Linked DNA regions of Saccharomyces cerevisiae S288C. The gene in region 2 interacts genetically with the main gene of each other region. Each region holds a gene or a part of one and is shown on either strand. Other genes may lie near its edges.

Region 1 (7,012 bases), on a different chromosome or scaffold from region 2:
CATATGAATTTGTGGTGGTAATGTCGATGGAGCCTTTGATTTGTTCAATTCTCTCTTGAATAGCTTCCTTTGGACCACTACCGTTCAGGATAACGGTGTCTTCCTTAGTAACGGTAATAGAGTCACAAGAACCCAAGTTTTCTATGGTACATTGTTCTGGTTTCAAATCCAACTCCTCAGTAAAAACAGTACCGCCCGTCAAGACTGCAATATCACCAATTGTATTCTTTCTATTATCACCGAAACCAGGCGCCTTCACAGCACAAACCTTAACTTGACCCCTCAACTTGTTCAAAATACAAGCCGCAAGAGCTTCACCGTCAACATCTTCAGCAATGATCAACAAAGGTCTTCTGCTTTGATTGGAAATTTCCAAAGCTGGCAAGATATCTTGAATGGAAGAAATTTTCTTTTCACTCAACAATAGCAATGGCTTTTCAAATTCCACCTTGCTCGACTTTGGATCAGTGATGAAGTATGGAGAAATAAAACCACGATCAAACCTCATACCTTCAGTAACCTCAAGTTCATCTTCCAATGTTCTACCTTCTCTGATAGTGATGACACCTTCTTTTCCAACCTTTTCCATAGCTGAAGCTAGTAACTTACCAACATGAGAGTCCCCATTGGCAGAAATGGTTGCTACTTGAGCAATTTCCTCAGATGTGGTAATTTCTTTCTTGTTGGCGCTCAAAAATTCAATCACTTTTTCAACTGCAACTTGAGAACCCCTTCTCAAATCCATAGGGTTACAACCAGCGGCGACATTTTTGACGGATTCTGTGAAGATGGCTCTACCTAAGACAGTAGCAGAAGTAGTACCGTCACCAGCAGCCTCATTGGTTTTGGAGGCAACTTCTTGTAGTAACTTGGCACCCATATTTTCAAACTTGTCCTTCAACACAATAGATTTGGCAACTGTAACACCATCCTTAGTAATCTTTGGAGGACCGAAAGGCTGTTCGATTAAAACGTTTCTACCCTTTGGACCCAAAGTAGCAGCAACCGCTTCAGCTAAAGTTTCGACACCCTTAAGAAGGGAGGCTCTTCCTTCTACACCGAATTTCAATTCTTTATGAGAGGAGTAAGCACGACGCAATAAAGGCCTTAAAGTAGCGCGACTACGAACAACGGATGATCTCAACATTTTGAAAACTTTTTTGCTTATGATGTTTTCTCGTGGGAATTTTCTTATATTATTCAAGGAAGTGCATGAAGACGCAACCACGACCTTACATAATGAATGTAAAACTTAGTCTCCTTCAATATATATACATGAATGTCCGTCTGGATTCTGCTCCGGGCAAAACGAAGCAAAATTAAAGTCACCCTCCCCATTTGGTTTTCTGGAAAATTCCACGAGGTCCGTATATGATGACATATACAGATGGGCGGCTATAAAGTAAGTTTCCAGAGGTAATACCAGGCAATAAACAGCTTCAATTGCTCGTAACACCATTGTATACCTACAAAAACAGTGGAATAGGGATGAGACATAACTGGCTGGAATTTCAACTGTACTTCTTTGCACAACTAGTCTTGGCGTTCTACTTGATCATTGCGCGAATGGATGCACTCGCAATAATTCCCAATAGTATAACAGGAGGAACATTTGGATGCATTAGGTATATTATTCATCTTCTTTATCATCAAAATTTTCTCTTCCTTTATGTTACTATGTTGCTTTCTTTTAATCTATGTTTTTTTCCCTTTCAGTTGCCACCGCTTTTCTGCAAGATTCATAGTTAGATTTGCAAATCAAGGTGTTTTCGGGCCTTGTTAAAGCCTTCGCAGGCGAAGAAGAAAGGGAACGTAAGCTGCGTGAGCCGAATCTATTTATACAAAAACAATCAAAAAAGTATAACTACAGCATAAACTGTTGTATATACGTGTTGCAAAATAGGAAAGAAAAGAAGAGTAAAAGGACTCTTGATATTATCTCGAAAAAACCACAAATAGTGTAAGATTTAAACAGTAAGCCAAAAGAGATGACTTTGAAACCTTCAAAGAGACGTAAGGGCAGGTCTCGCCATTCCAGGAAGAAGCAAATAACGTCAGCGATACTGACTGAGGAAGGAATAATGATCAAGGCAAAACCATCAAGTCCTTACACATACGCAAATAGAATGGCAGATAAACGAAGTCGCAGCAGCATTGACAACATCAGTAGAACTAGCTTTCAAAGCAACATCAGTAGAACTAGCTTTCAAAGCAACAGTGATAACAACAGTATATTTGAAACGGCTTCACTAATTAGCTGTGTTACCTGTTTAAGCGATACTGATACAATAGACAGATCGGAAACATCGACAACGGATACAAGTAAAGATGATCTTTCTGCTAATCCAAAACTTCATTATCCTTCGGTGAATGGTCAATTGCCAGCAAACACCGTTATCCCCTATGGACGAATTCTGGATGCCAGATACATTGAAAAGGAACCTCTGCATTATTATGATGCCAATTCATCACCCAGTTCACCTTTAAGCAGCTCAATGAGTAACATTAGTGAAAAGTGTGATCTTGATGAATTAGAGTCTTCCCAAAAAAAAGAAAGGAAGGGCAACTCGCTATCGCGAGGAAGTAACAGTAGTAGTAGCCTCCTGACTTCCAGATCTCCTTTTACGAAACTAGTAGAGGTTATATTTGCTAGGCCAAGACGGCATGACGTTGTACCCAAAAGGGTTTCATTGTATATTGACTATAAACCCCATTCATCTTCTCACTTAAAAGAAGAAGATGACTTGGTTGAGGAGATTTTAAAGAGAAGCTACAAAAACACTAGAAGGAACAAATCCATATTTGTGATCATTAATCCGTTTGGTGGTAAAGGTAAGGCGAAAAAACTGTTTATGACAAAGGCAAAGCCGTTACTATTAGCAAGTCGGTGTTCCATAGAAGTGGTTTATACAAAATACCCTGGTCATGCTATAGAGATCGCGCGGGAAATGGATATTGACAAATATGACACTATTGCTTGCGCTTCGGGAGATGGCATTCCTCATGAGGTGATCAATGGGTTATACCAAAGGCCTGATCATGTCAAAGCATTCAACAATATCGCCATTACAGAAATTCCATGCGGATCAGGTAACGCAATGAGCGTATCCTGCCACTGGACAAACAATCCTTCGTACTCAACTTTATGCTTAATTAAATCGATAGAGACTAGAATTGATTTGATGTGTTGTTCGCAGCCTTCTTATGCAAGAGAGCACCCAAAGTTATCATTTTTAAGTCAAACATATGGTCTCATTGCAGAAACTGACATAAACACTGAATTTATTAGATGGATGGGACCTGCAAGGTTTGAATTGGGTGTAGCCTTCAATATCATACAAAAAAAAAAATATCCTTGTGAGATATATGTAAAGTATGCTGCCAAATCAAAAAACGAGTTAAAAAATCATTACCTGGAACACAAAAATAAAGGGTCGTTAGAATTCCAGCATATTACTATGAACAAAGATAACGAGGATTGTGATAATTACAATTACGAAAATGAATACGAAACCGAAAACGAAGATGAAGATGAAGATGCGGATGCGGATGACGAAGACTCCCACTTGATATCTCGTGATCTGGCAGATTCTAGTGCTGATCAAATTAAAGAGGAAGATTTCAAAATAAAATATCCATTAGATGAAGGTATCCCTAGTGACTGGGAAAGATTGGATCCTAATATTTCGAACAACCTAGGTATCTTCTATACGGGTAAAATGCCATATGTGGCTGCTGACACTAAATTCTTTCCGGCAGCGCTTCCTTCAGATGGTACAATGGATATGGTTATCACCGATGCAAGAACCTCGTTGACGAGGATGGCACCAATCCTGCTGGGACTAGATAAGGGTTCCCATGTTTTACAACCGGAAGTCTTACACTCTAAAATTTTGGCATACAAGATAATACCAAAGCTAGGGAACGGCTTGTTCTCTGTCGATGGCGAGAAATTTCCTCTAGAGCCCCTTCAAGTCGAAATTATGCCACGCTTATGCAAGACGTTACTGAGAAATGGCCGTTATGTGGACACAGATTTCGATTCTATGTGACACTTTACTTAATCTTTTCCTTCGTACTGAACAATTAATCAAAAACTAGAATATGTCATTTCTATTTCTTCTATATTTTTTTTACGTTGTTGTTGTTTTTGTTGTTGTTTGATAACTTTATACACTCCATACTTCTTTATAAAAAGTTTTAATACCATTCTTTAATACAACCATGTTTAGTGAGTACTAGCTCCTACACATCAGATCGTCAAGTACATTATGATTATGATTATTATTAATATTATCAGTACAATTATTATGTGCTGGTAGTTCACTAAAAAATATGACGCACACAAAGAGTTCTCCTTATGCCCTATAGAACTGAAATATTAGGTGCTAACACTGACAAGCGCTTTGTTCCTGCTCCTCTGCTGTAGAAATATCAATGACTCCCGGTTTATTTTGGTTTGCACTATTTGCATTTTCGCTATCCAAAGGAGTTGACTCGCTGTTTTGAAATTCAGGCAGCGATTTGGCAATCTTTTTGAATAAAGCTTTGACATTATAGCCTGCCTTTGTGGACGTTTCCATAAAGATTTTAGCACCCAATAGTTTTGCTTTTTTCTCTCCCTCTTCGGTTGAGATTTGCCTTTCATCTGATAAATCACTTTTGTTACCAACAATGCACAATATAACATTTTCGTCACCTCTTTCATTTTTAACGTCTTCTATCCATTTATCAATATATTCAAATGATTTTCTCTTCGTAATGTCGTAAACGATAATAGCAACTCTCGAATCTCTGATATATGAAGGTATTAATGATCTAAATCTTTCCTGACCTGCTGTATCCCATAACTGTAATCTAATTGTCTTATCATCCAAATACATGGTCTTGGAAAGAAAATCTATACCAATCGTGGCTTGGTAATGATCATCGAACGTATCATACATAAATCTAGTGATCAGCGATGTTTTTCCAACACCCTGTTCTCCCAAAAAAACAATTTTGTACTTTGTCAATGATTTCCCGGATCTGCTCATTGTTAATCTCTTCTTTGTTTATCTTTTACTGTTCAGAATCAACAGCTTCAAACACTTCTTTTCACACAACCTTAAGTGCCCAATTGTGATATTCTTACATCATACATAGTAACAATCTATATATGGGCAATATTTTCCTCCACTAATTGAGCTGTGCTGAAGGCTTTATTACCCGGAAATTATTCGGCCATTTTTCACTAGAAGTTAATACCAGCACTAACGAATAGAAGCACCCTATTCTACTCAAGATGCCCGGTTCATGAATAGGGAGAAGTATTTTTCTTATTTTCCTTAGCCATCTATAAATATTTATCCTTATGCCTGTCACCACAATAGAAAAGGGTCCATTATATATCAGTTGTTTTCGTACCTCTAGAGAGACACGCAAGGGGCTTTATTTAGGAAACCTCCAAATTTGCTAGATGTAACCATTATACATAGTAATTACGATTGTAAAACATCGGAAAGAACGATATATCTTGCAAATAGCTTTTCTTTGGTAATATATGTATTTACTTAAAAAACGAGAACTAGAAAATACTGAGTAAATTTTTATTAGACGTTGTTAAAGGCCTTTTATTTCTTACCAGATTTTTTGATACCACCACCCACTAAAGGTTTACCACTTTTCATATTAGCCATCAAAGCTTTCTTAGCAGCAGCATCGGCCTTTTGCTTCTCTTTGAAGGCAATGTCTTCAGGATCTAAGTCCTGTTGTTGCTTCTTCTTTTGCTTTAGAGGCTTCATCTTACCACCTTGGCGACTAGACATGATTGCTTAGGGTTTTTCAGTTATTCTTCTGGTTTTGCAACTTACTGTGCGTGGAAGAGCAATCAATTACAGGATTTTAAACATGAAATTTTTTATTTTCCTCGTTCATTTTCGTCGCGGGAAACTTCCAGAAGTATAGATTTACTACAATTTTTATCTCAGGACAGAAAGAATAAACCAAAAAAGCCAAGACAAGCCAAGCCAAGCCGAGGCGACTGGAGGAGCTTTTCATCACATTCAATGACAAATCACAACAGGTTTCCCTGTTAGAAAAGGCATGTGCACTCACAATTCATATTTTCATACAGAAGATATACATTGGATTTCTGGAGATATCAGGTAAGGTTCGACAAAAACAATGGCGTTTGCCAACCCTTTATGATGGGTGATCTTGTATCCGCTTAATTGTGTGATCTAAAAAGGCAAAGTAACGTATTATTGGCTGGTTTATATAATTTGAATATGACTACTTTTTCAACGTTAAAAACGATAAATACTTGCTCAAAGGGTTCAGCGGCTAAATAAACTACGATTTCGCAGCAGGATCAGATGGATTCAATCACATCATTCGCAAAACATTCACATCATTCGTGAAGCATTAAAGGTAATAAGAAAAATAGAACAAAGATTTTTTAATCAGTGAGGACCACAAAGGGACAGCAAATACGGTGATAAGAATGGAAGGTTTGAAGAAAAAGATTTTTGGTGTTTGCCTGAAAAATGACTTAGCACAGACTAGGAATGAAACGAAAGGAATCCACTATGGGTTAATGACTTTGGAAACTTCTAAACAACTGCAGGAATTTCTCCATTTGCTAGTAATAAAGAGAGAAGTAATTCAAAATTTTGAGTTGTTATTTCACATCATAAATGTTGCCGTTAAAATCACCGATTCAAATCTTCCAAGTGATGATATCTGGCATTTCATTTTAAAATTAAGATTTTCTTCTGAGATTAATATAGACGAAGACTCCAAAGTTTTAAATTATTTACTTGAGACTGGCATCGCAATGGAAAATCCAGTCAGTTGGAAATGCTTGGCCGTTATTAGCAGCATCCTCAGCAGTGTCCCTCAATCCAAAAAGATTATAACTAACCTGATCGAGACAGAACATGCCAAAAAGATTGGTCAGTTGTTTGATAATATTCAAGATTTGCAACAAGGAAATTTTCTGGTGGAAATTCTCTCTAACTGTTTTAAAAAA
Region 2 (7,838 bases):
AACAATAAAAGGCAAGAGAAAAAATCATTTGTTTTAGGCTGTTAACAGATGACCGGTGATTCCAGAAGCATCAGCGAACCCTCAATTAATCTAGATCCAGATAATACAAGTTTTTCTGATGAAAACAGCGATGACTTCTTTATGGACAATTCCTATGATATAGATGAAATCGATCATAGCGATGAAAGTAATAGGCAAAGTGTCATAGTTGACTCTAAAGTCACGGTACCGCCATCAAAGCATTCAACTCTAACATTATCTGATAGTGAAGATAGCGACGCAAAGGAACAACATCAGTCCCTGAGCAGATCATCTAGTAAAAATGTAAATATAGAAGATATTACGGAGCCCAAGCCAGACAAACCATCGGGTCGAACTAGAGGAAGATCTGTGATGAAAGAGTCTGTAGTTGAAATAAACTCATCTGAATCTGACTTAGACGAAGACAAAAATTTTCCCAGATCTAGGTCAAGGTCCAGGTCAAGCATAAGATCAATATCTCCAGCGGGAAAATACAAGCGACAGAAAAGTTCATTACTGTATACCTATGATGAAAACGATGACTTTTTCAAGGAACTTGCTAAAGAAGCCAAAAAAAGCACCACTATTTCTAAAGAATCGACACCCGACCAGCGGAAGCGAGTTTATAACATCAAATTTCTCTCTAAGCTAGAAGGAACTATAAATAAAGCGGTCCAAGTGAAGGTCCTCGGAAAATACGAATTTTCAAAAATACTTCCTGCTGCTTTGGACGGATTGATGAAGTCCTATAAAATTCCGAAGGTAATGAAAGATATATACAAGGTAGAGAATGTTACTCTTTATTGGAACAATGCAAAATTACTCACTTTTATGACTTGTAATTCGCTACATATCCCACAGGATTTTGAAAATGAAGTCTCTGATATCGATGTTACTATCGTATCCAAAGAATACGAAAAGAACTTTGAAGCGACACTGGAATCAAAGTTAAAGGAAGAAGAAGCTGCTTTACTCATAAAAGAACGTCAGGAGATGGAAAGGAAGTTAGAGAAAAAGAGAAATGAACAAGAAGAGTCCGAATATCGCGAGTTTGAATCCGAATTAAAAAACGTAGAAGAAACACAAGAAATAAAAGAAAATGATACAGTTATGAATACAAAACTTCTGCAAGAGGGTGGCTCTTTGTCAGGAAATAGTAGTAGCATGGAAGAAGTTATGAGAATCGCTCTCATGGGTCAAGATAACAAAAAAATCTATGTCCATGTTAGGCGTTCAACACCATTTTCTAAAATTGCCGAATATTACAGAATCCAGAAACAGTTACCACAAAAGACGAGGGTTAAATTACTTTTTGATCATGATGAATTGGACATGAATGAGTGTATAGCCGATCAGGATATGGAAGATGAAGACATGGTTGATGTCATTATTGATTGAGCGCAATTTGCTAAAAAAGGCCGAACTCCGGCTCTTTACGTGCCACAATTATTATTTACTATGGGCGGCGGGTGTGTTGGTGGTGCTTGCGGTACTTGTAAAATATTTTCTGAATATAATTGAATAAGACCTTTTGTGTTTAAATCATACTCGGGTAATTCTCTGTTCAAAAAGTAGGTGCTGACCCTCTTCTACCTTCCGTGAAATATTATAAAGGAATTTTTCCATCTCTAACTCAACATGTTAACGCTTTTCTATAAAAATTTGATCGCCTAATGAATACAAAAATCTCTTCAGCTTTTTCGTGCTAGGTTTGAATAGTACATCTAACGTAGAACAACTATCAAAACAATTTGATATTTCCTCGGCTATAGTTTTCTTGGAACAAGAGGTAAACTACTTCTCTATTGTTGCTACAGCAGTCAATTAAAATAATTCGTTTCATCATAATATTATGATATCAACGCTAAAAGGTTGTATAAATTACGAGATCAGCAGAAAATAAAATTCAAGCCATCATCCTTTAAGGTGATTTGAAGGGCAAGAATTGGTAGTGTAACTGCATCAATGAGTGATTAGGTGAAAACGAAGAAAAATAATAAATATGGTACTGTGCAGAATTGTTGATTTTCTTTTTTGAACTCTAAACCATCAAGAATGGCTTTCACCCACTATTGTTACACATAGTACTATTACTTACACCAAGATGGGATCCGACAAATATCTCAACACTATATTGGTCTACATGCTTTATCGATTGCTCCTTATTTACGTATTTCTATAAATAGGGCGTACTTTACCAACAGTGATCATGGATGCAAAAAATGTGAATACATTTATATGGAAAAAAGGTTTATATCAATATATTTTAAAGTGATTGAAAATTACTGATGTGTTTGATATTGTTGGAATAAGAATCAACCATCATATACCCGACTAACGTTCATATTATTAGTAAACTATCATATACAACCTAAGAAGTTGACATAAAGATTGACAAGCAGTTACCATTTTTAGTAGAAGTTGAAAAGCAAGAATTGATAACCAAATATTGTTTTCCAACAATGCAATCCCAACCCTATCTCAATATTCATAGAATTCACTTATTTCTCAGTTTAATACATGATGATGCATCTTGATATTGAGAAATTATATGTATTATCCCTTTTTAACCTTTAAAAGGTCACAAATAAATAGCCTTGTTGGCGCAATCGGTAGCGCGTATGACTCTTAATCATAAGGTTAGGGGTTCGAGCCCCCTACAGGGCTAATAACACATTCAAAATGTTATAAATTTTTTTTCGGGTTTGTGTTTAAAACTAACCTTCTAAAGAAAACAATAAAAATTATATCAACATTTCCTCATGTCTTTGTAACCTACTAGTAGGGATTTTGAAGGGCTGAAAGCTTCTTAGTTCTGTCGGATCCATTATATTATCATTATTTACGAAACTAGTGCTATGGGTGGCGAACGTGGTGGGCGTTACCTTTTAAAGTCCTAATGGAAACCTACCTATGCATAAAGTGAATAGAGTGGCAATAAAAGTCGAATAATAGTACAAATACGCAAAAATATGAGTACGGACGTTGCTGCTGCACAAGCCCAAAGTAAAATAGATTTAACAAAAAAAAAAAATGAGGAAATAAATAAGAAGTCTCTAGAGGAAGACGATGAATTTGAAGATTTCCCCATTGACACATGGGCCAATGGTGAAACAATAAAAAGCAATGCTGTAACGCAAACAAACATATGGGAAGAAAACTGGGATGATGTTGAAGTTGACGACGATTTCACCAATGAATTGAAGGCCGAATTGGATAGATACAAACGGGAAAATCAGTGAGGGGCTACATAACATTATTTCTAAATAACGCAAAAGGAAATTATACGTCTAATGTTACTTTAGTACATTGTTGTCATACTAGTATATTTTGCTTAGATGATAAAATAAATAATAAAAAGAGATACGAAAGGCTATGCGGTAGTCGATTATATGGCCTTGTAGTATAATAATGATGCACGCAAAGTATTAAATAACTCAGCTGAGATTTCTCATTTCTTTAAATGCAGTCTCAGTTTAAAAAATTAACTATATTAAGATCCGCTCTTTCTACCATATGATGCAAATGTGTCCTCGAACTAGTACTTGCAATTTCAGGTAACCCCAATCGTTTCTTTATTATTGTCATTTTTACTATCATAATAATATCATCCGTAATAACAATTAAGTAACAAATCACATCCATGTAACCATTTAATTTGTTTCAAGTAACATTCCGAGTGAATAGCTAGTCACATACATATATCTTACCTGCCGCTCCGCTGCAAATGACTTTACTTGTTTCTTGAGGATGCCAGTCCACTTGAGTTATAGGCTTGTTGCCTGGAATCTTGATGTTATTTAATAAGCGCGACGTATTCCAATCCCAAGTAAATAGTCTGCTTTTTGAATCGCCTGAACATATGTAACGACCATCACCAGAAAAAGCCAAGCTTATCCCATAACCAGCAGATGAATGCCCTTTAAATATCTTTTTTGGATGCCTCTTATATTTGGGTTTCAAACTGAAAGAATATATTCTATTATCCATGCTTTGTGCACAGAAATAGTTCTGAGACGGATGTACATTTAAAAATGGCATAGAATGTTGAGCCGTGTCACTTATTTGTTTTATTGGTACATTGATCTGATTTTCCCAAATTCTTACCGTCTTATCCTCTGAAGAAGAAATAAACTTCGAACCATCGGGAAAATACTTGAGAGCCAGAATGCTACTTAGGTGATGATCATATGTCTGCACAAGACCTTGATTTTCTGAAACACGATCATCATAATGTAATATTTTCGAATTCGATAAACCTACAATGAACTCATGTGGGTTAGTGGGCCGAGATTCAACATCTGCAGGCGTTGAATTAAGGTGCAACCTGGTTTTCACTTTACCAGTTTCAGTATCCCAAATTTTAACGCTTCTATCAAAGGAAGAGCTCAAAAAAGATTGACAGTCTTCGGTGAATCGTAATGCTTTAATAGGCTTGTTATGACCTTGAAAATCTCGTAGGCATTCATAGTCATGGTAGAAATCCCAAATTTTTATAGTATGATCATTACCACCAGAGAGAATTAAGTGTCCAGTTTTAGGTAAGAATTTCAGGGCAGTGGTTCCTTCTGGATGCCCCGGATAATTACGTATAACTTTTTTTGGTAAGTAACACCGAAAGGATATCCTTTCCTCACGAAGATCAACATCGACGTCATTTGGTGGATATAAATATCCTCTGCCTTGATAGTCCTTTTCTGATTTACCATAAAAATGGGAGACTTCCTCTACCTCTATCTGTTCCGAATCTAGGTTGTCCTCAGCCAGCGCGTGCACGAAGATATCCTGATCTTCTTTCTGAGTTTCGCTGGCTTGTGAAGTTTCATCGTCACTACTTGACCAACTGCCCCACGGCCCATCTCCTTTGCGAGTTTTCCGTCTTCTTTTTAGTTCTGACTTTGTAAAATGTGATTTTCTCTTATGAATATTATTTGAAGAAGGTTCATACGAAGTATCTTCATGCAAATTACCATTTTTCTTTTCATGAACAGATTTGCCTTCGTCGAAGTTCAAATCAGAGTCTGAGCTTGTGTCATAACCGTCTACTAAACCCATTTCATCTGCTCTTCAAAGTACATGCCGTGTTTGTTGCACTATTTGGCCAAAAATAAAGGAAAAATTTCAAGATTTTTTTTTTACCTCATCTCTAGCAAGGACACAGTACTCCCTCGTAAATAAGACAAAATACAAAAAAGAAAATTCAAAGAAATGGTATTACAAGAACCGGTCAGAGAAACATTACGATAATTGATATCAACTACAAATCCAATGATGCATTCTTTATAATTGTACATATCTATTTGTATTCAAGTTTCATTTAAATACTATTTCATTGACTGCTTTAAACCTTTACCTTCTTGGATGATTTGCTTTTCTTTTTCAACTTGTTTACCAAGTTACCAATATCTTCATTATCATCTGCGTTATTGGTCATATTGTTTTCACTACCGCCAAGTTTTCTTTTCTTATTCTTAACACGTTTACTACGTTCTTTTAGGATTTTACTCATAGCTTGTGTACCTTTGAATTCAGGCTGGGTCGGGTCGATAGCAAAATCGTGATCTTCGAAGACTTCTTTAAATCTAGGATCTTCTAAATCAGGTGTAAAGGTGTCTTCAACAATTCTCTCTTTCTTTTGATACCGGCCTTTCTTGTGTTTTTCTTTTTCTGATCTTAAGATTTCGTTCATGTTGAAATGTGCTTTGTTATTTATTGTGCCCTGAGTTTCGGTATCATCATCATCATCCATTAAAAGCTCCAATTCAGCCTTTGATTTGGCATTCTTTTCGATCTCCTCTTCATCGTTAGTATGCTTTTTATTAACAGATTTCAACTTGCTTTTCTTATCCTTCTCCGACTGCTGTTTCAATTCCTTTACTTTCTGCTTTCTTGCTTTACGACGTTCCTTCTCTTTTCTTCTTATTTTCTCTATAGTCGTTTCTTCTTTGTCTTCCGACGATTTCTCGTTTCCTCCTTCCAAGGCTGGAGTAAATGTAATTTCCATATCAACTTCTTCATCTTCATCGTTAGGGGTTTCTTTCTTGGAATTAAACCCAAAGTCACCAACCAACGACTTTAGTTTATTTTTCGCCTCTTCATCGACCTGCCCATCCGATTCATCACTATCTGACGCCAAGTAAGCCTTAAAGTCCATATCATCAATTTCCTTTTGGGTAAAGGCCCTCTTAGCAACTTCGACCCTATCAGCTGGCGTTTCATCCCAGGTCAATTTGACGCTTGAATGTTGTAGAGCATCTGTGCTAAACTGGTGTGGCCTATAGTTCTTAGGCAATATACTGCATTCATCTCTTACATCATCATCAAAAGTCATACCATCAGGAACATACCTTAAATCGAACATATTAGCGGTTGACTCATATTCGGTACCATCACAGTTATCATAGATAGCTTTGGAGGTGGTTGTATCACTACAATAAACTATTGCGTAATAATATCTTAATCTGTCCAACTGGTATTGACGTAAAGCTCTGGAATCCACGTCCTTGTCAGCATCTCCCTCTTCATAAAGATCCTTAATACCGATGTCCATATCAGAATCAGAGTCATCAGTTTTCTTCTTTTTGGAGGTTTTGTTCTTATTTTTCTTTTGGAAAAGTTCCTTTGGAGGTCCTTCAACTTCCTCGCGTTGCATTCTTTCTTTACCAAATTCACTTGGATAAATAGCAACTCTTTCAATTTTACCACCTTTAGGAACGAAACTGGAAAAGGTAATCATCAAATCCTCAGATTTAACATGGTCCCAATCTAAATTTACGACGGCCAAATTCTTAGAGATGTCACCAGATTCTGGTTTGGCATTTTCAATTTCTACTTCATTTTCTTCTTCGCTTTCAACTTCACTTTCTCCGGACGATTCAGAATCAGAAGAAGTGAATTCATCAGAAGAGCTAACATAATCATCAGGAACTTCACCACGGGCACGGTCCACTACTGTTTTCGCATTAACTTCTGAATCTTCATCATTTTCTGCTTCCTTTTCGAAATATTTGTCGAAATCTTCCAATTCCCTGTTATTCTGCGCATTTTTGATCTTTCTACCATACTTGTCAACCTTAGATTTATGCTGGACCTCCAGATCCTTCTTACTGAACCTAGAATCTAACTTGATCTTATGATCTTTGGTTTTCGTGTTCTTAAATTTAGGATCGCTGTAGATCCCGGCAAACCTAGCATCTACACCTTCCTTCTTTGGGTTCTCTCCAGCCATCTTCAATTTTTCTTGCAACCTTATACGATCCGCTGAAATGTCTTGAAAAATATTCCGGACCCACAGTTATGTGATATTTATTATTTGTACCATTATGCTAATGATGAATTTGAGATGAGATGAGATGAAATTTTTTCTGTAACTGAAAAATTTCGGAACGTCAATAATGATCGGTAGCCTCATCTGGGATATTTGGCCCGGCTCATATTGCTAATCTTTGGATATAGGGCTATTAGCAGATTTCAATCGTCCTCTCTTGGCATAGTAGACACAGAGTTGTATTTGCGCTTCTGAGCGATGCTTCCGAGATTGTTGAAGCATGTTGGAATAGAAATCAACTATCATCTACTAACTAGTATTTACATTACTAGTATATTATCATATACGGTGTTAGAAGATGACGCAAATGATGAGAAATAGTCATCTAAATTAGTGGAAGCTGAAACGCAAGGATTGATAATGTAATAGGATCAATGAATATAAACATATAAAATGATGATAATAATATTTATAGAATTGTGTAGAATTGCAGATTCCCTTTTATGGATTCCTAAATCCTTGAGGAGAACTTCTAGTATATTCTGTATAC
Region 3 (8,212 bases), on a different chromosome or scaffold from region 2:
GGTCCAATTAGGTAAGAAGGGTGTTCCATACGTTGTTACCCACGATGGTAGAACTATCAGATACCCAGACCCAAACATCAAGGTCAATGACACTGTTAAGATTGATTTGGCCTCTGGTAAGATTACTGATTTCATCAAGTTCGATGCCGGTAAGTTGGTTTACGTTACTGGTGGTCGTAACTTGGGTCGTATCGGTACTATCGTTCACAAGGAAAGACACGATGGTGGTTTCGATTTGGTTCACATCAAGGACTCCTTGGACAACACTTTCGTCACTAGATTGAACAATGTCTTCGTCATTGGTGAACAAGGTAAGCCTTACATTTCTTTGCCAAAGGGTAAGGGTATCAAGTTGTCTATTGCTGAAGAACGTGACAGAAGAAGAGCTCAACAAGGTTTGTAAACATTTTAAATATTGTTATCTGCCCTCTCTTCGTCTTTTGTTTAATATAAATAAATTCTAAATCAACTATATATATGTATGTATACATATACATATACATATATCAATTATAAAAAAAGTGACAAGCATTATACATACAATTTTTCTTTTTTTTTCATGAAATGTGTAACCAGTGTGCCTCATTAGAGACAGGGACGAGAGAGCAAAGGTGCAATTTCCGCTGCAAATGAACTTTTTTAAACGATGTGCATAAATAAATAAAAAAAATGGCAGAATACTCTAAAATTGAGAAAAGTAATCCCGTAATAACTTTTTGGTTGAATCACCACCATAATGGGAGCAGTCATTGGTGGTCAAGTTCTCCATACGTAATCCTAAATCATTTATGATAGAATTTACGGCGTTTAATATATCGAGTTCCATAAAGGAATAGAAGATAACATGAACCATCTTCGACGGATCAGCTTCCTCTTCTTGCACTTTCTTCACCTCTTTACATTGCACTACATTGGGGATATCGTATTCTCTTTGTGAATTGTGAGGTGTGTCATCACCATGACACCCGAAATCGTCTTCTGTGGTGTAGCCTTCGCTTAAATTTGGATTATTGATGAAGGGACACTTCTGAAAACCGCCAAAATGCTGTTTGTGATGAGACGATGATGGTATTCCTAATGAGGCAATGACAGGGCCCTTGTTCAAATAGGTTTCCACCCTGGAGGCAACGACCAATGGAACTGTGATGAAGCGCCAATCATTATTGAATGGCATCACTATATACTCAGTATCCTTTGTAAATGGGCCTTTGTAAAGATCGTACCTGACAGAGCCAGTGTTAATCAAAATGAAACGACTCATCGAAGGTTCATAGTTTTTGGGAGGAATTAAATTGGGTAAAATCTTATGCGTGATCAAATGATAAAGATTCTCTTCGGAGTTTAATGGCCTTGTTGAAACGTAGTAAGTTTGAGGAATGTACCCCAGTTTCTCGTTCAAATTTAGTTCATGGCGCAGATCATTCACCAAACGAGAAATAGTTTTACCCTTTTTCGTTGAGACTGGAACATTCGAGTCATGCCCTAGTTTGCTCAAATGGTATTTGAAAGCTTCCTTGTTAAAGTCAATATACCTTCTTGAGAAAATAGGACTTTCGGCGTCCACAGGGTCAGTCATATTAATTGACAAGAATCCCACAGTTTCCGCAAATCTACCACTTTGTAAACAAGTAGATTTTGAGTCCAGCTGTACAAAATCCCTGATATGAGTGTGCCCTCCAAAATATTGTATAACAGTATTTGGGTAGTATTTCCTTATTAGAGCATGAATTTTGTGCATTTCACGCTCTGTAGGGTCAGTGGCAGGCAAATGACCAAAGACAATAATTAGGTCGATTTCCTCCTCTCTGTTTGTCTCAACCATATTTTGGAACCAGCTTTTTTGAGTTATTTCTTCCAATGGTGGTGTTACGATGGCTCTGTTATTTGCTCTTTGAAAACTAAACAAAAATGATAATGCCAGGACTCTTTGTTTCATTATGGGAGTCTCGAATGTAATGTATTTATTCCCGAAAGGAACCCTTGTTCCGTCATCTTCAATAAATTCTACGTTGCTGCAAACATATTTGTCTTTGAATTTTGAGGACTGAGAAGTTCCTCTATACTCTAGTATGGCACTTTCAGCTGTATATAGCTCATGATTACCTAACGTTAAAAGATCGTAATCCATCATGTTGAATATCTCCGAGCTTCGTAGGCCGGGGGGCCAAGTAGCATCACTCAAACCATTACCGTCTCGTTTGTCGCCAGTGTCGATGACTATTACGTCTCTGGACTGTCGTAAAATTTTTTCTCTAAGTATATCTACAAATGCAACGAAATCTCCCCAGTCAGCATCATAGTCGTTTTGTGATAGATGGGACCCCAACCAGCCATGAGTATCGGTTGTATGGATAAAATTTATATCCCCTATATGGATATCTCTTAATGGTACATCCTGCGACGGCGCTAAAACTGCCTGTTGTTGTTGATACGGCTTTGCAAAGATTAATCCTGTAAGAGCAACTAAACAGTGTACAAGCTTTAGTATCATTTTACACTGTTGCGCACACCTTTATTGCATTCACTCTCTTTGTTATTGCTGTAGTTCTTGTTGACGGCTTGAGGGGAAATAAGCTTATCGGCTTTTGCAATTGGCGGCTAGTTGGCGAAAGAGCGACTGATCGATAAGGACACTAAAGTAAAAAATAATATTAAAGATATACTGTAGAAATGTTTCATTATGGTTGTAATAATAATTTTACGTCATGCAATGGTTCAGATAGAAAGTTCGAGTTTGCTCTGGAACACAATTGTTTGTTTTCCTGCTTTCAAGTTAGTGCCATCTACTCTCTAACTACGGACGCCTTTACCGAAACCTATCTAGACAAATGTGTCTTTCTTGGAATAATATGAGCGTATATATGATAACGTTCGGGTGAACCTAATGCCTTGGTTCCTTACTCTATTTTGATCACTTCCTTTTTCGTTCGTTTATACATTTTGTTTCTTTTTACCAATATTCAACTTCTGAACACATAGATTTTAATTAAGATACAATTTGGCGAACTTAATTTGCAAACGATTTTACATGTAAGAAATTGTTGTACTGAAATCTTGATGTTAAAAAGTGTATGACTTTTACAACCTTTAGCAAGTATAATGGTTTGTGAAAAGAACCGTAAAATATAATCGTCATCTTAATAAGTTGCTAATGAATGATCACTGAAATTTCTACAGCAACAAAATTTATAACTCAAGTACAGTCGTGTTTTGCTTTCACTACGATCAATAGTATTATTATTACCGATGATTCCACTGTTAGTGTTATTATATTCAAGAGTGTACACTTCTCGCTAAGTAATGAAGAAATTTGCACATCTCATGTGTACACTCATTATACAAGATCACTTTCAACAAGCATTGAGTCACTAGAAAATTACAAATTATTTTCCCAGGAGGTGTAAAATGGCATATGTTTCTGCTGTCCTTGAAAAAAGTATGGAATAACCAGAAGCTTTGATAGAAAACGCCGAGGATAATACTCTGTGTAAAGCTCTAACCTTCATTCATTTTGTCACATTATCCACCTACTTGAATTCTAATTTAGAATACGAGTCGAAATAGTCTCGAAGAATAACTCACAACCTTTTTCCTATTATCTGTATGCTATACATGCCGCTGATTTTTCATTTTTTTCACTTTTAAGAGTAGAAAAAAGAAACGAAGTGTACATAATTAACTAAAGCCACTTGAAACAAATAATCAAAAAGTTCAAAACACCGATTGTTAAGAAAGATGTCGCCTTTGAGAAAGACGGTTCCTGAATTTTTGGCACACTTAAAATCACTGCCAATTTCAAAAATTGCAAGCAACGATGTGTTAACAATATGTGTTGGTAACGAGTCAGCAGATATGGACTCAATTGCTAGTGCAATCACTTATTCGTACTGCCAATACATATATAATGAAGGTACTTACTCGGAGGAGAAAAAGAAAGGAAGCTTTATTGTCCCAATTATCGACATTCCTAGAGAAGACCTCAGTTTAAGAAGAGACGTAATGTATGTCCTAGAAAAACTGAAAATTAAGGAGGAGGAATTATTCTTCATTGAAGATTTAAAGAGCTTGAAGCAAAATGTCTCCCAGGGTACTGAATTAAACTCTTACTTGGTAGATAATAACGATACACCAAAGAATTTGAAAAATTATATAGATAACGTCGTTGGCATTATAGACCACCATTTTGACTTGCAAAAACATTTGGATGCTGAACCTCGGATTGTAAAAGTGTCCGGCAGTTGCTCATCGCTGGTTTTTAACTACTGGTATGAAAAATTGCAAGGTGACCGTGAAGTGGTGATGAACATTGCACCACTTTTGATGGGGGCCATCTTAATAGACACTTCAAATATGAGGCGCAAAGTCGAGGAAAGTGATAAATTAGCTATCGAGAGATGCCAAGCTGTTCTTAGTGGTGCGGTTAATGAAGTGTCTGCGCAAGGTTTAGAGGACAGCAGTGAGTTTTATAAAGAGATAAAATCAAGAAAGAACGATATTAAAGGATTTTCGGTAAGCGATATTCTAAAGAAGGACTACAAACAATTCAATTTCCAAGGAAAGGGACACAAAGGGTTAGAGATTGGTCTTTCATCAATAGTAAAAAGAATGTCTTGGCTATTCAATGAACACGGTGGTGAAGCAGATTTCGTCAACCAATGCAGAAGATTTCAGGCGGAGAGGGGGCTCGATGTATTGGTTCTGTTGACTTCATGGAGGAAAGCTGGTGATTCACACAGAGAATTGGTCATATTGGGAGACTCTAACGTGGTACGTGAACTCATTGAAAGGGTTAGCGACAAGCTCCAACTTCAATTATTTGGGGGCAATCTTGATGGAGGTGTGGCGATGTTTAAGCAACTGAACGTCGAGGCCACCAGAAAGCAAGTCGTCCCCTATTTAGAGGAAGCGTACTCAAACCTGGAAGAGTGAAGGGAGATGTTATATATGCTTTATTTGGTTTATATATGACCCATATAGATATTTTTGTACACTACTATTTGTCTTGGTGTTGTTCAGGCTGTTCAGACTGCTCAGGCTGATCTTGTTGTTGTTGCTGCTGTCTTAACCTTTCCTGTCTTTGCTGCTCTTCTTCCATAGACAGACGCAAGGCCATTGCCAGTTCTGGGTCCATTGATGGGTCTACCCCGAAGTCCATAAATGTGCCATTGGCATCGGAATCACCGCCAGACCCACCAAAGGCGCCCATACCGGAGGATCCTTCTTCGAGAATTATGGGTGAAGATGCGATGTTCTCGTACAGCAGTCTGGGGCCAGGCGTCACAGTAAGCAAATGACTAGTTTCTTCTTGAGGGTTGTTCACTGCAGCTATGAACTCATCCAAAAGCTCCGTGTTCTGTTCAATCTCTCCAAAATTGATGATGTCCACGGCAACATTATTCTTTTTCAGTGTTTTTGCCAATCTGATCAATTCGTCTCGAGAATCACTTATTGGGCTACACACAAATGCCACAATCCTTTGATGTTGGACCTTATTCTGGCGATGCTTCAAAGTCAGCTGAGCGATCTGCAACGCAGTGGCCATATGCAGCTTACCCTCGATCTGCGTGTCGTGTAGTCCAGCAAGAATCTTCCCAAACTCGGCGGTAAACGTAGATAACACCCTGGGGTTGGCGCCAGCACCAGAGATAAGACCCACTGTATTCTCAGGATTGCTGTTTCTCTTGGCTTGAAATATGAACTCTACCGAGTCGATCTGGGCTTCAAACCTTGTCCTAGGAAAGTCGCCATTGCGAGAGTACTCTGAATTATCAATCACTAACACTGTAGCTTCCAATACCATTGTGCGGTTACTGCTGAGTTATTTATTGACTTTTCCCTTCTTTCTTTACGCTTTAAAAGTCTGATATAAGTGTGTATTTAGTTGTAAATTCCGGTGGCGAAAACCCGCCTGGCGGAAATAACCCGGCAGCTATAATGCCATATAACTTCAAGAGAATACAATTGTAAACAAGAAGTGGCAACAACATCAGCAAAAGGGCAGCTGCCGCACTCGGTTACGATGATACCGGCTCTCACTCCCGAAGAACGGCAGAAGTTGCGCAGCGCAATACTACATCGAATGCAGCTGGAACGTATGTCACCTCACCGCAACACTCTACCCCCAACCTTCACCCGCACTAATTACTAACACAACCTCAGTGGAAACAACAGAAAAACTGATCGAAAATATTAAAGAGGAGACGTTAAAGAAACTAAATCTGCTCCAGCAGCCTGATGCAACATCAGCGCCTCAATCAAAGGAACTAATCAGAGAGGTGCTTGAACAGGAAGGACGCCGTATAGAATGATTAGTTCGTATAATGGACCCTTTCTCGGTATTCGCAATGATGCACCTATTACTAATCAGCGGCCGATTTGTTGGTATTAAAGCAGCGTGTGGTTACATCCCCTTGTTGAATACATGTCTACTTAGCAGAAGGCCAGGTATATGGAAACATGCGTTTAATCAGTAAAGTTTTGGTGAAAACAAATTGCCTAGAGGTAGGTATGAGGAGGGCCCCACAATGGTATTCTCACTACTCTACTACAGCGGGCAATGCTCGTGTGAACAAGAAGGGCAGCAAAGTAGTGCCTGTGTTAACAGGGTTAGCACTGGCATCCATATTCGCGAAGAAATGGTATGACGATTCCCAGATCAAAAAGGCGGATGCCACCAGCGTTGCAGTGGACGCATCCATCTCTGCGTTCCCTAAGAAGATGGGCCCCCCACAGTGGCCCTTCTCCACGCAATATGAGCTGATTGGTAAGGGTGTACGTTGTGTCTCATCGATCACTTTCAAAGCATATGGTCTGGGCATATATGTGGCCGCTGAAGACAAACATCTGGTCTCTGAAGTACTGGACTCAAAGTTCCTGTCTCAGGCGTTCATCGACACTGCGGCACCCCCATCACCGGAAAACTCACATCAGGATAATTTGCGTGCGGCTTTGAACGATCCTGCTAAGGCCCCTATCCTGATTAATAACCTCTTAGACAGCGGAATCAGACTAATGTCCAAGAATACTCCGATAAAAGCAGGTTCCTTCAAGTTATTGATGGACGGCACCAAAAAGAGCGTCCTAAAGAACCCAGATTCTCAGTCTCAAGACAAAGACCGGCTGGAAGCTGGATTCCAAGAATTGCATGACTGTTTCAGGAGCGTAAAAGGACTTGTGGCTCGAGATGATGATTTTTTCATTGAGCTGAATAAGGACTGCTCTATGAATTTGTCTTACTACGCAAGAAAGAAGGATGAATTTGTGATATTGGGCACAGTGAAGGAACCCCTTATTGGAAAGCTCTTATTTGCCCACTACCTAGCTGCTGTGGATCCTCCTTCTCCGGAGGCTAGGAAGGAAGTAATCGATGCACTCGTCTCTCTATCTTAGGACACTTTCGCCGACTTCTACATACAATTACATAATACATACGCTGTTCCAAAAGCTGCACATATACTCTAATGATGTTTTTTTGAGTTTCCTTTCGACTCAATTTTTCTAGGAGGGACCCCTCAAAATGTTTACAATGCTATTCGGTTTTGACAAGAAAAAATCAATTCAAAACTCTTACGGCGTTACAACCGCGATAGAATCCCTTCATGGACAGAGGAAGGTGCGCCAATATGCTAAAATCACTCCAGCGAACACTAGCTAAATGTCAGAAATCTCCATCAACCAACCATTGGCAATGTTTCAAAAGAAATTTTACTAGTATACGAGCCACTAAATACCCTGGGCGTTCTAATTCGACGTTCCACTATTGGCCCTGGTTTGCGGCGTCAACATTGCTCGCTACTTCGTTATACTACCGTGATCGTCCGGTACAAAATGACGATAAAACTGATGCTTTTCCTTCTCATACTGAATCGATACAGGTAGACTCTAGCGTATCAGATTTCCCACTAACGATTACTGCTTTAAATTTCCCTGTCTCTACAACTTTTAAATTACTGGGATATGGTCAAAGGCACGTCACGTTTTTGAGGTTCAAGGTCTATGCCTTGGGTCTTTATCTAGCTGAAAATGACGAAAACCTTGTTTCAGACACTCTAAATGAAACTTATTTACATAAATATTTCCTTGATGTGGATGATTCTAAGACTCCTAAGGAGAATCTAGCTAGATTATTGAAACGTGATGACTCAAAATCCGTTATGATGATTGATGACTTACTGGATTCTGGAATGAGAATGCTAGCCAAGATAACTCCCGT
Region 4 (7,670 bases), on a different chromosome or scaffold from region 2:
TTTTCATTTTTTTATTATTTTAGCTCACGATCCGCATCTCGAATTTTCAGAGCTTACTAGATTCTAGGCCATTAGAAGTAAATGAATAGAGGTGAAATAAAATTCATACCCATCATGAAGTCTCCTTCATAAAATATAACACCGCAAATGACTAGTAAATTAAAACGGGTTGCTGTCGCACAATTATGTTCATCCGCTGACCTGACCAAAAACTTAAAAGTGGTAAAAGAATTGATATCTGAAGCCATTCAAAAAAAGGCGGATGTCGTTTTTCTCCCTGAGGCAAGTGACTATCTTTCTCAAAACCCTCTTCATTCCAGGTATTTGGCACAGAAAAGCCCCAAATTTATTCGGCAATTACAGTCAAGCATTACCGACCTTGTCAGAGATAATTCACGGAATATAGATGTTTCCATTGGGGTACACTTGCCGCCCTCAGAACAAGATTTACTTGAAGGCAATGATCGAGTCAGAAACGTTCTATTATATATCGATCATGAAGGGAAAATATTGCAAGAATACCAAAAACTGCATTTGTTTGACGTAGACGTGCCAAATGGACCGATATTGAAAGAATCAAAATCTGTCCAGCCTGGCAAAGCCATTCCTGACATTATAGAGTCTCCATTGGGAAAATTGGGCAGTGCCATTTGTTATGATATTCGCTTTCCCGAATTTTCTTTGAAATTACGATCAATGGGGGCTGAAATCTTATGTTTTCCCAGTGCGTTCACTATTAAAACAGGGGAAGCACATTGGGAGTTACTAGGCAGAGCAAGAGCGGTTGACACTCAATGCTATGTGCTCATGCCAGGGCAGGTTGGAATGCACGATCTCAGTGATCCAGAGTGGGAGAAACAATCACATATGAGCGCTCTCGAAAAAAGCTCCAGGAGAGAATCTTGGGGACACTCAATGGTCATTGATCCTTGGGGTAAAATAATAGCGCATGCCGATCCCTCTACTGTTGGACCACAACTAATTCTCGCTGATTTGGATCGTGAGCTTTTGCAAGAAATAAGGAACAAAATGCCCTTATGGAACCAGAGAAGAGACGATTTATTTCATTGAGGCAAATAAAATATGAAAAAAGCCTTTATTCGTACAGATTTGCTTTACATATTAAAAATTTCAAAAACATATAATTTAAGTATATAAGTAGTTAATCATTTAATTATTTTTCCGTGGATCGAAGAATTTCGTTAACTTTTTCATCATCTCTTGATCTATTCACAACTTTAAATGCAAAAGTCAAATATGAGGTATGGGATTTGATCTCAGCTTCCATCTTTGTGACCTCCTTCCATTTATAATTACTATCACCTTCCTTGATTCGAGAACCTTTGCCAAAAGGATTAAATTTGGCCTTTTCTGTTAATGGTACGCCATCCTCGTTTCTTTTTCCAACTTTTTCATCGTTAGAATCTATTGTATTGTTAAACATCCGCTTGCGTCTTTCTACACCCTGGAGTTTGTGCCTCTTAATATCTCTCAACCTTTCCAGGGCATCATTGAGTGATCTGACCATTTGTCTTCGACTTTCGTACTGTCTACCTTGAATTTCCACCATTTCAACATCCGTCCAGCCATATTTCTCTAATACATCCAATGTTTTGTCTACTTGCTCAATGCATGGGGAGAAGCAACACAATCCGACCTTTTCGTCTACGGAAATAACAGAATCCAGATGAGGTATAGCATCCCAGGGAGCCGGCAGATCTAAAAACACTACATTTGCATTCAATGAAGCGGCGGTTTCATTATTGCCAAATTCGTAAGATGTAGTGTCTCCCTTCTTTATAAGAAATCCACCTTGGCAAACATCCCGATGTGTAATCGTAACGTTATCATCAATAAGTCCATGCTCTTTGAATTCCTCTAATGCTTGTTCGTATCTTATGTGATGAAATTCAAAACTAAAAAGATGACCTACAGATCTTGCAAAAGCGTGCGAAAATGATCCTGAGCCTGTACCTGCCTCGATCACTCTGCTGTGAGGGCTACAATTCAACCTTTGCATGATGTAGGAAGAGTCGGGCGTATATACAATTTGAGTTCTGTGTGGTAACGACAAAGTCCACAATTCAGGAGTTGGTTGCAGAACATGGACGAATGCAAACTTATTTGAGCCCTTTGTTCTTATAGCAATTTGAGAACCATAAGGTTTACCTATGATATCCTTATGAGGAAATGAACCATAACGAGTATTGAATACCTCTTCGGAATGCATCCTTACCGGTTTGATGTTATCTCTAGAAACCCATATTAGAGTTAAATCGCCTTCCTTGATGAGGTCTTTGTAACCGGAAAAACAATTTGTTGACATTTCTAAATCTGCGTAATCTTAGCTACCTGATAGTCCCACCCCGATCTTATTCACATATATTTTCTATATACTTTAAACAGTTTTAAAAGTGATGAGCATGGAAAAAAATTCGTTGCTAACGGCATGGCATAAACAAAAAGCGAAAAAATTTTATAGATAATAATAAAGAAAAAGTATCAATAGCATGAGTGTTAATGTTATAACGAAGTGTAAGAGGAAAAAGAATGCTGCGCAAATACGTTACTTCATAAAAAAACTCAAGTACTGTATATATTTTACATTTAAATATATTAATTTATATACAAATACGGCCTCCTCTCTTGCATTTTTTTTATTGTTCCATCTCCAAAGGCAGTTGATTAAGTGTACGGATAGGTAAAACTGAATGTGGAAATTTTTGAGAGTTTACTCCAGGATATATGTTGGTAGTATTGTGTTTTTCTTTCTTAGTACATGTCAGATTTATGGAAATCGTAAACGATACCATGGCGGGCCATTTTTTTACCTTTGTGGGTTTCCTCTTTAAACCTTTTCTCATCATTTTTTTGCTTGGTCAGCCAAGCCTCCTTAAATGGTATGCGTTCCATGGCCTCAAGGGGTTGATCTTCTTTATCGATGTCTACTTCGCCTAACATGACAACATTTTCACCACGAATCATGAATATGCCGCGGTCTTCTTCAGCGTATTTGTTTTCTTCGCTAAAATATATTCTCTCCACGCAATCTTGAAGTATCAAATTTGCATATTGGTCAAAGGTTCTTAGTACACCGAATAGCATTCTTCCATCACGCAAAAGAACGAAGATTTTACGGTCTACTGAGCTTACAATAGCAGCGGTGGTAGTGAAGTTATACTGGTCGAGATATAAATCGGCCTCACCTTCTGAAATCTTCTTTGGGAAATTCTGCTGTTGTCGCTTCGCATCCTGATTGGACTGATTTCTGTCCTTGCTATTTGCAGACATTTTTGGTGAATTAATTCGATTCGAGGGCTGCTTTCTTTTATAGGTTTTGAAAGCGGAGCAAATGTTGGTATAACTCTACTGCAGCGTTGGCAATCCTGTTGAAAAGGAAAAGAAAATATAACTAAACTGTGTTACTTGTATCTTCACTAATATTTAATCAGCCCTTGGTCATACAGGCTTCCCCTAGATTGAAATACAGGTGCTGAACACCGTTGTATATTCACGACTTCCTCTATTTTTTTCATATTTTCCATTATTCAACGAACGCGGGTAACAAGTCGGCCGAATTTGAACCCACTCCTCTGCGCTTGTAACTTTATACATCATCGTTACGCTATAAATGTTATGTATTAAGTGTATCAAAGACCCATACGGTCAATGACATAATTCTGTGCCATGACCCCAAATGACAAGCTTAATCCATCTTCGATCCATTCCTTTACCCATTCACTAGGATCAATGATCTCATCGTCTTCGTCTTCGTCTTCACTTTCTTTTTGTTTCTTTTGATCGTATGACTTATTCCTCTCCTCACTTGCTGTTGATCCTGTTTTCTCCACGGATCCTTCTAGCCAATTGACCCATTTGACAGGGAATCCTTGTGATCTTGTTATGGTGGTAATATCGTTAGTTATGTCTTTCAATACAAGGGTGAAATTGAAATTGCCTGGCGTATTGGAGTCGGTCACTTGAAAGTCACCGTCGGCATCTTTTTGTTTTTGCGGAATGGCAATTGGTAAGATGGATATGAATAAATCACTGATTTTATTGCTGTTACTGCTAATAGAACTCCTATCGTCATCTGGAGTGGCATCAGCCTCTTTCTGTTGTTTCTGGTATTCCTCATGTGCAGTATTGAAGAGTTTGACTGCATTTTCCAGGTTTGCAAATGCCAGTTTCTCACCGTCTGTTACCTTGCCGTCGAATAGATTAAACTGTAATTTTTTTTTAGAGTTGCCTAACTCACCGTCTGCAACTGAAGGCTTTTTTTCCACAGGTGTAATTCCATTATTGTTAGGATGGCCCCATTCATCTACAAATATTCTGATTCCTCCCTCAACTTGTGAGCTTAGAACTTGATCAAACTTGCTTTCAATATTGTATTGTAATGAGGGATAGTTAACCAAATCATGGACTAGATGAATTCGCAGCACCTCTTCAGTCTCACCAACAACGATTTTCTGTAAGTTTCTGGCTATTTCAGTAATCGTGCTCGTGTTTATCTTTGAAGTCAAATCAAGCTGTTCTTGGGCAAGTCGGTTTTTGATCTGGGATGCTTGTTCTGCAGTTTTATTCCAAATACTCGATACCTTTGCGGATCCAGAGGAGGACCACCAGTTTGAAATAGAAGCAATTGGGTCATGCAATGGGGTCTCCTCCTCCTCCTCTTCTTCTTCTTCTTCTTCCTCCTCTTCTTCTTCTTTCTCCTGCTGCTGTGGTTCCTTTTCCTTTCCGTGAGCGTCCTGCTCGGAATTTTTGTTTTCTTTTGATTCTTCTACTTTTTCGTCTTGTGCTTTATTATTAACTGATTCACTGGGAGCCTTCTTTTCAACCCCTTTCTTGTCAGTTAAGCTTAAGTTACTCTTCTCCAACTCTTCTAAGAATTCAAAGATATCATCGTCACCTTTCTTTCCATCATTCCCGGTCTTGCCCGCCACAGAATTAGAACCTCCCTTAACGCCTTCTTGGCTACCCTTTACGTCAGTATTAACCATTTTCCCGCCATTCTTTGCTTCTGGCAAAGAATCTAAAAATTCAAATACGTCTTCAGCCTCAGAGTTCTTATTTTCAGACATTTTGCCCTGGTAGTATGTATGTTTTTAATCGATTGAGTCTAGTTAACCTGTCCCTTGTTCTATTCTTCACCGTCTCGTCCAACTTCCATCAAAGAACCAGAAACCAGAAAATCGCCGGTTTCTTCCACGCGTCAATCCGTTTGGAATGATCTCATCGCAAAATTTTTTTTCGCTAAAATTTTCATAGAGAGTATCAATATTAATATATGGTTATAACTTATGGCGGCATTAGTCGATGAGGTGCTTGCCGAAGAGACTAGCACAGCCAACCCATAATGCCTTCTAAAAACTCCATCAACAGACCTAAGCTGACTTCAAATTTGCACCACAAGGTGCACTCTTTAAATAAGAAAAGAGCTCAAAGAGAAAGAGCTGGTCTCTTGAAGCCAGCTAGATCCAGCGTAAATTCGAAATCTGGGGAAATAAAATCAGTAGCGTTGGACCTATACTTCCAAAACAAGAAGAACGAAAGTCAGAATTCCACTGCTGTGACATTACAAAATGCTTCATCTTCTCCGGCCTCCATCACCACGAGGACACTTTCCAAAAAGAGAGCTAAGAAAATCGAGAGAAACTTAAAATATGCTACACAGAGAAAATTATTGGTTGACGCAAGCGCTAAGCTAGAAGACGAAATGGATATTGATCTAGATGGCGGTAAGAAAGTGAAAGAGAATGAAAAGAAGAGTTCTTTGACTTTGGTTAAGGAAGCCTTATGGAGTGTCATTGACGATACTGCATCCCAGGGATTGATCATCGAAAACGGACAAGGCACCACCCTGGGCGGCCCATTTTTCCCATGAGTTAGGCACTTACGTATCTTGTATAGTAGGAATGGCTCGGTTTATGTATATTAGGAGATCAAAACGAGAAAAAAATACCATATCGTATAGTATAGAGAGTATAAATATAAGAAATGCCGCATATGTACAACTAATCTAGCAAATCTCTAGAACGCAATTCCTTCGAGACTTCTTCTTTCATGAAGGAGATAACATCGTGCGGGTCAGCTGCAGTGAAAACACTGGTACCAGCGACAATAACGTTGGCACCGGCTTTGGCGGCTTTCGGGATGGTCTCCTTGCCCAAACCACCATCGACTTGGATATTCAAATGGGGGAACTTGGCTCTCAAAGTTTCCACTTTTGGCATCATGTCTTCCATGAATTTTTGGCCTCCAAACCCAGGTTCCACAGTCATAACAAGAGCCATATCCAAATGAGGAGCTAGTTCAAATAAAACGTCAACAGAAGTACCAGGTTTGATGGCGCATGCAGCTTTGATGCCCTTAGACTTAATCAACTTAACTAAATGCAAAGGGTCTTGTGTGGCCTCGTAGTGGAACGTAAATTGGTCAGCACCACATTTAGCAAAATCGTCGACCCATTTTTCAGGATTTTCAACCATCATGTGACAATCGAAGAACGCAGTGGGCTTCTTTTCTGTGTTGCTAGCATCGCCAGGGCGTGGCACAGAACGACGTAGGGAGGTAACAATTGGTTGGCCCAGAGTAATGTTTGGAACAAAATGGCCGTCCATGACATCGATATGTAACCAATCTGCGCCGGCGTTGATGACCTTATGACATTCGCAACCCAAGTTGGCGAAGTCAGAAGCAAGGATACTGGGAGCTATAATTGGTTTGACCATTTTTTCTTGTGTGTTTACCTCGCTCTTGGAATTAGCAAATGGCCTTCTTGCATGAAATTGTATCGAGTTTGCTTTATTTTTCTTTTTACGGGCGGATTCTTTCTATTCTGGCTTTCCTATAACAGAGATCATGAAAGAAGTTCCAGCTTACGGATCAAGAAAGTACCTATACATATACAAAAATCTGATTACTTTCCCAGCTCGACTTGGATAGCTGTTCTTGTTTTCTCTTGGCGACACATTTTTTGTTTCTGAAGCCACGTCCTGCTTTATAAGAGGACATTTAAAGTTGCAGGACTTGAATGCAATTACCGGAAGAAGCAACCAACCGGCATGGTTCAGCATACAATACACATTTGATTAGAAAAGCAGAGAATAAATAGACATGATACCTCTCTTTTTATCCTCTGCAGCGTATTATTGTTTATTCCACGCAGGCATCGGTCGTTGGCTGTTGTTATGTCTCAGATAAGCGCGTTTGTTATGCGAAAAAAAAAAACTTTACAGAGGCTTTGTTTATATATAGAAAGACCACGAAAAAAACAGTGATGGCTTCATGCTTTTCAGTTTCATTATTGGCACGAGTAGCAGTCGTTGAGCCCATCAGAGTGCAACTTTGGTTAAATGTCGTAAATTGTATGATTGAATCATCCATGCACCAATGTCCTCCACGGGATCGCCACTTTTTTTCTTCATCACGCCCCATTTTGTTGATCCGACGTTCTGTATCAACTGTATACAGATTCGTTGCTTCTCGCACCACACAGGTTTTACGTGCGGCCAAGACCGTTGTCAAGTGGTTCATTATTGTCGACCCACTGATAAATTCTATTCTAATCAATTATCTCATTGATAGGCTCTGCACTCTTGGGCATGCTGTATTGCGAGTGAAAAAGCGCAAGACCGAGGAGAGACAACCCTGTTCTCCCATTA

What was found.
Region 1: mutations in SEM1 (region 2) and YPT6 together harm fitness less than expected from each alone (positive genetic interaction), as found in Saccharomyces cerevisiae (5 studies listed by BioGRID).
Region 3: mutations in SEM1 (region 2) and RPN10 together harm fitness more than expected from each alone (negative genetic interaction), as found in Saccharomyces cerevisiae (10 studies listed by BioGRID, with this or other methods).
Region 4: mutations in SEM1 (region 2) and LSM1 together harm fitness more than expected from each alone (negative genetic interaction), as found in Saccharomyces cerevisiae (7 studies listed by BioGRID).

The regions. Positions count from the first base shown.
Region 1 is NC_001144.5:663,856-670,867, forward strand, and holds YPT6 (Rab family GTPase YPT6), read right to left. Parts: upstream 5,037-7,012; coding exon 4,389-5,036; downstream 1-4,388. Other genes in the region: chaperone ATPase HSP60, read right to left, coding at 1-1,147; sphinganine kinase LCB5, read left to right, coding at 1,989-4,052; VPS63 (Vps63p), read right to left, coding at 4,382-4,708; TMA7 (Tma7p), read right to left, coding at 5,613-5,807; RED1 (Red1p), read left to right, coding at 6,485-7,012. UniProt on the Saccharomyces cerevisiae protein: Protein transport. Might participate in post-Golgi transport.
Region 2 is NC_001136.10:1,199,135-1,206,972, forward strand, and holds SEM1 (proteasome regulatory particle lid subunit SEM1), read left to right. Parts: upstream 1-2,993; coding exon 2,994-3,263; downstream 3,264-7,838. Other genes in the region: ESC2 (Esc2p), read left to right, coding at 49-1,419; CDC40 (Cdc40p), read right to left, coding at 3,709-5,076; pre-rRNA-processing protein ESF1, read right to left, coding at 5,363-7,249. UniProt on the Saccharomyces cerevisiae protein: Versatile protein that might stabilize multiple protein complexes involved in diverse pathways. Subunit of the 26S proteasome which plays a role in ubiquitin-dependent proteolysis.
Region 3 is NC_001140.6:496,667-504,878, reverse strand, and holds RPN10 (proteasome regulatory particle base subunit RPN10), read right to left. Parts: upstream 5,801-8,212; coding exon 4,994-5,800; downstream 1-4,993. Other genes in the region: 40S ribosomal protein eS4 RPS4B, read left to right, coding at 1-403; SMN1 (Smn1p), read right to left, coding at 683-2,491; PPX1 (exopolyphosphatase), read left to right, coding at 3,736-4,929; NBL1 (borealin), read left to right, coding at 6,020-6,092, 6,160-6,308; AIM46 (Aim46p), read left to right, coding at 6,457-7,389; AIM18 (Aim18p), read left to right, coding at 7,599-8,212. UniProt on the Saccharomyces cerevisiae protein: Multiubiquitin binding protein.
Region 4 is NC_001142.9:184,354-192,023, forward strand, and holds LSM1 (Lsm1p), read right to left. Parts: upstream 3,292-7,670; coding exon 2,773-3,291; downstream 1-2,772. Other genes in the region: NIT2 (putative hydrolase), read left to right, coding at 148-1,071; tRNA 1-methyladenosine methyltransferase subunit GCD14, read right to left, coding at 1,175-2,326; DUF5427 domain-containing protein MTC1, read right to left, coding at 3,651-5,087; ALB1 (Alb1p), read left to right, coding at 5,363-5,890; ribulose-phosphate 3-epimerase RPE1, read right to left, coding at 6,021-6,737; YJL118W (uncharacterized protein), read left to right, coding at 7,286-7,670. UniProt on the Saccharomyces cerevisiae protein: Component of the cytoplasmic LSM1-LSM7 complex which is involved in mRNA degradation by activating the decapping step.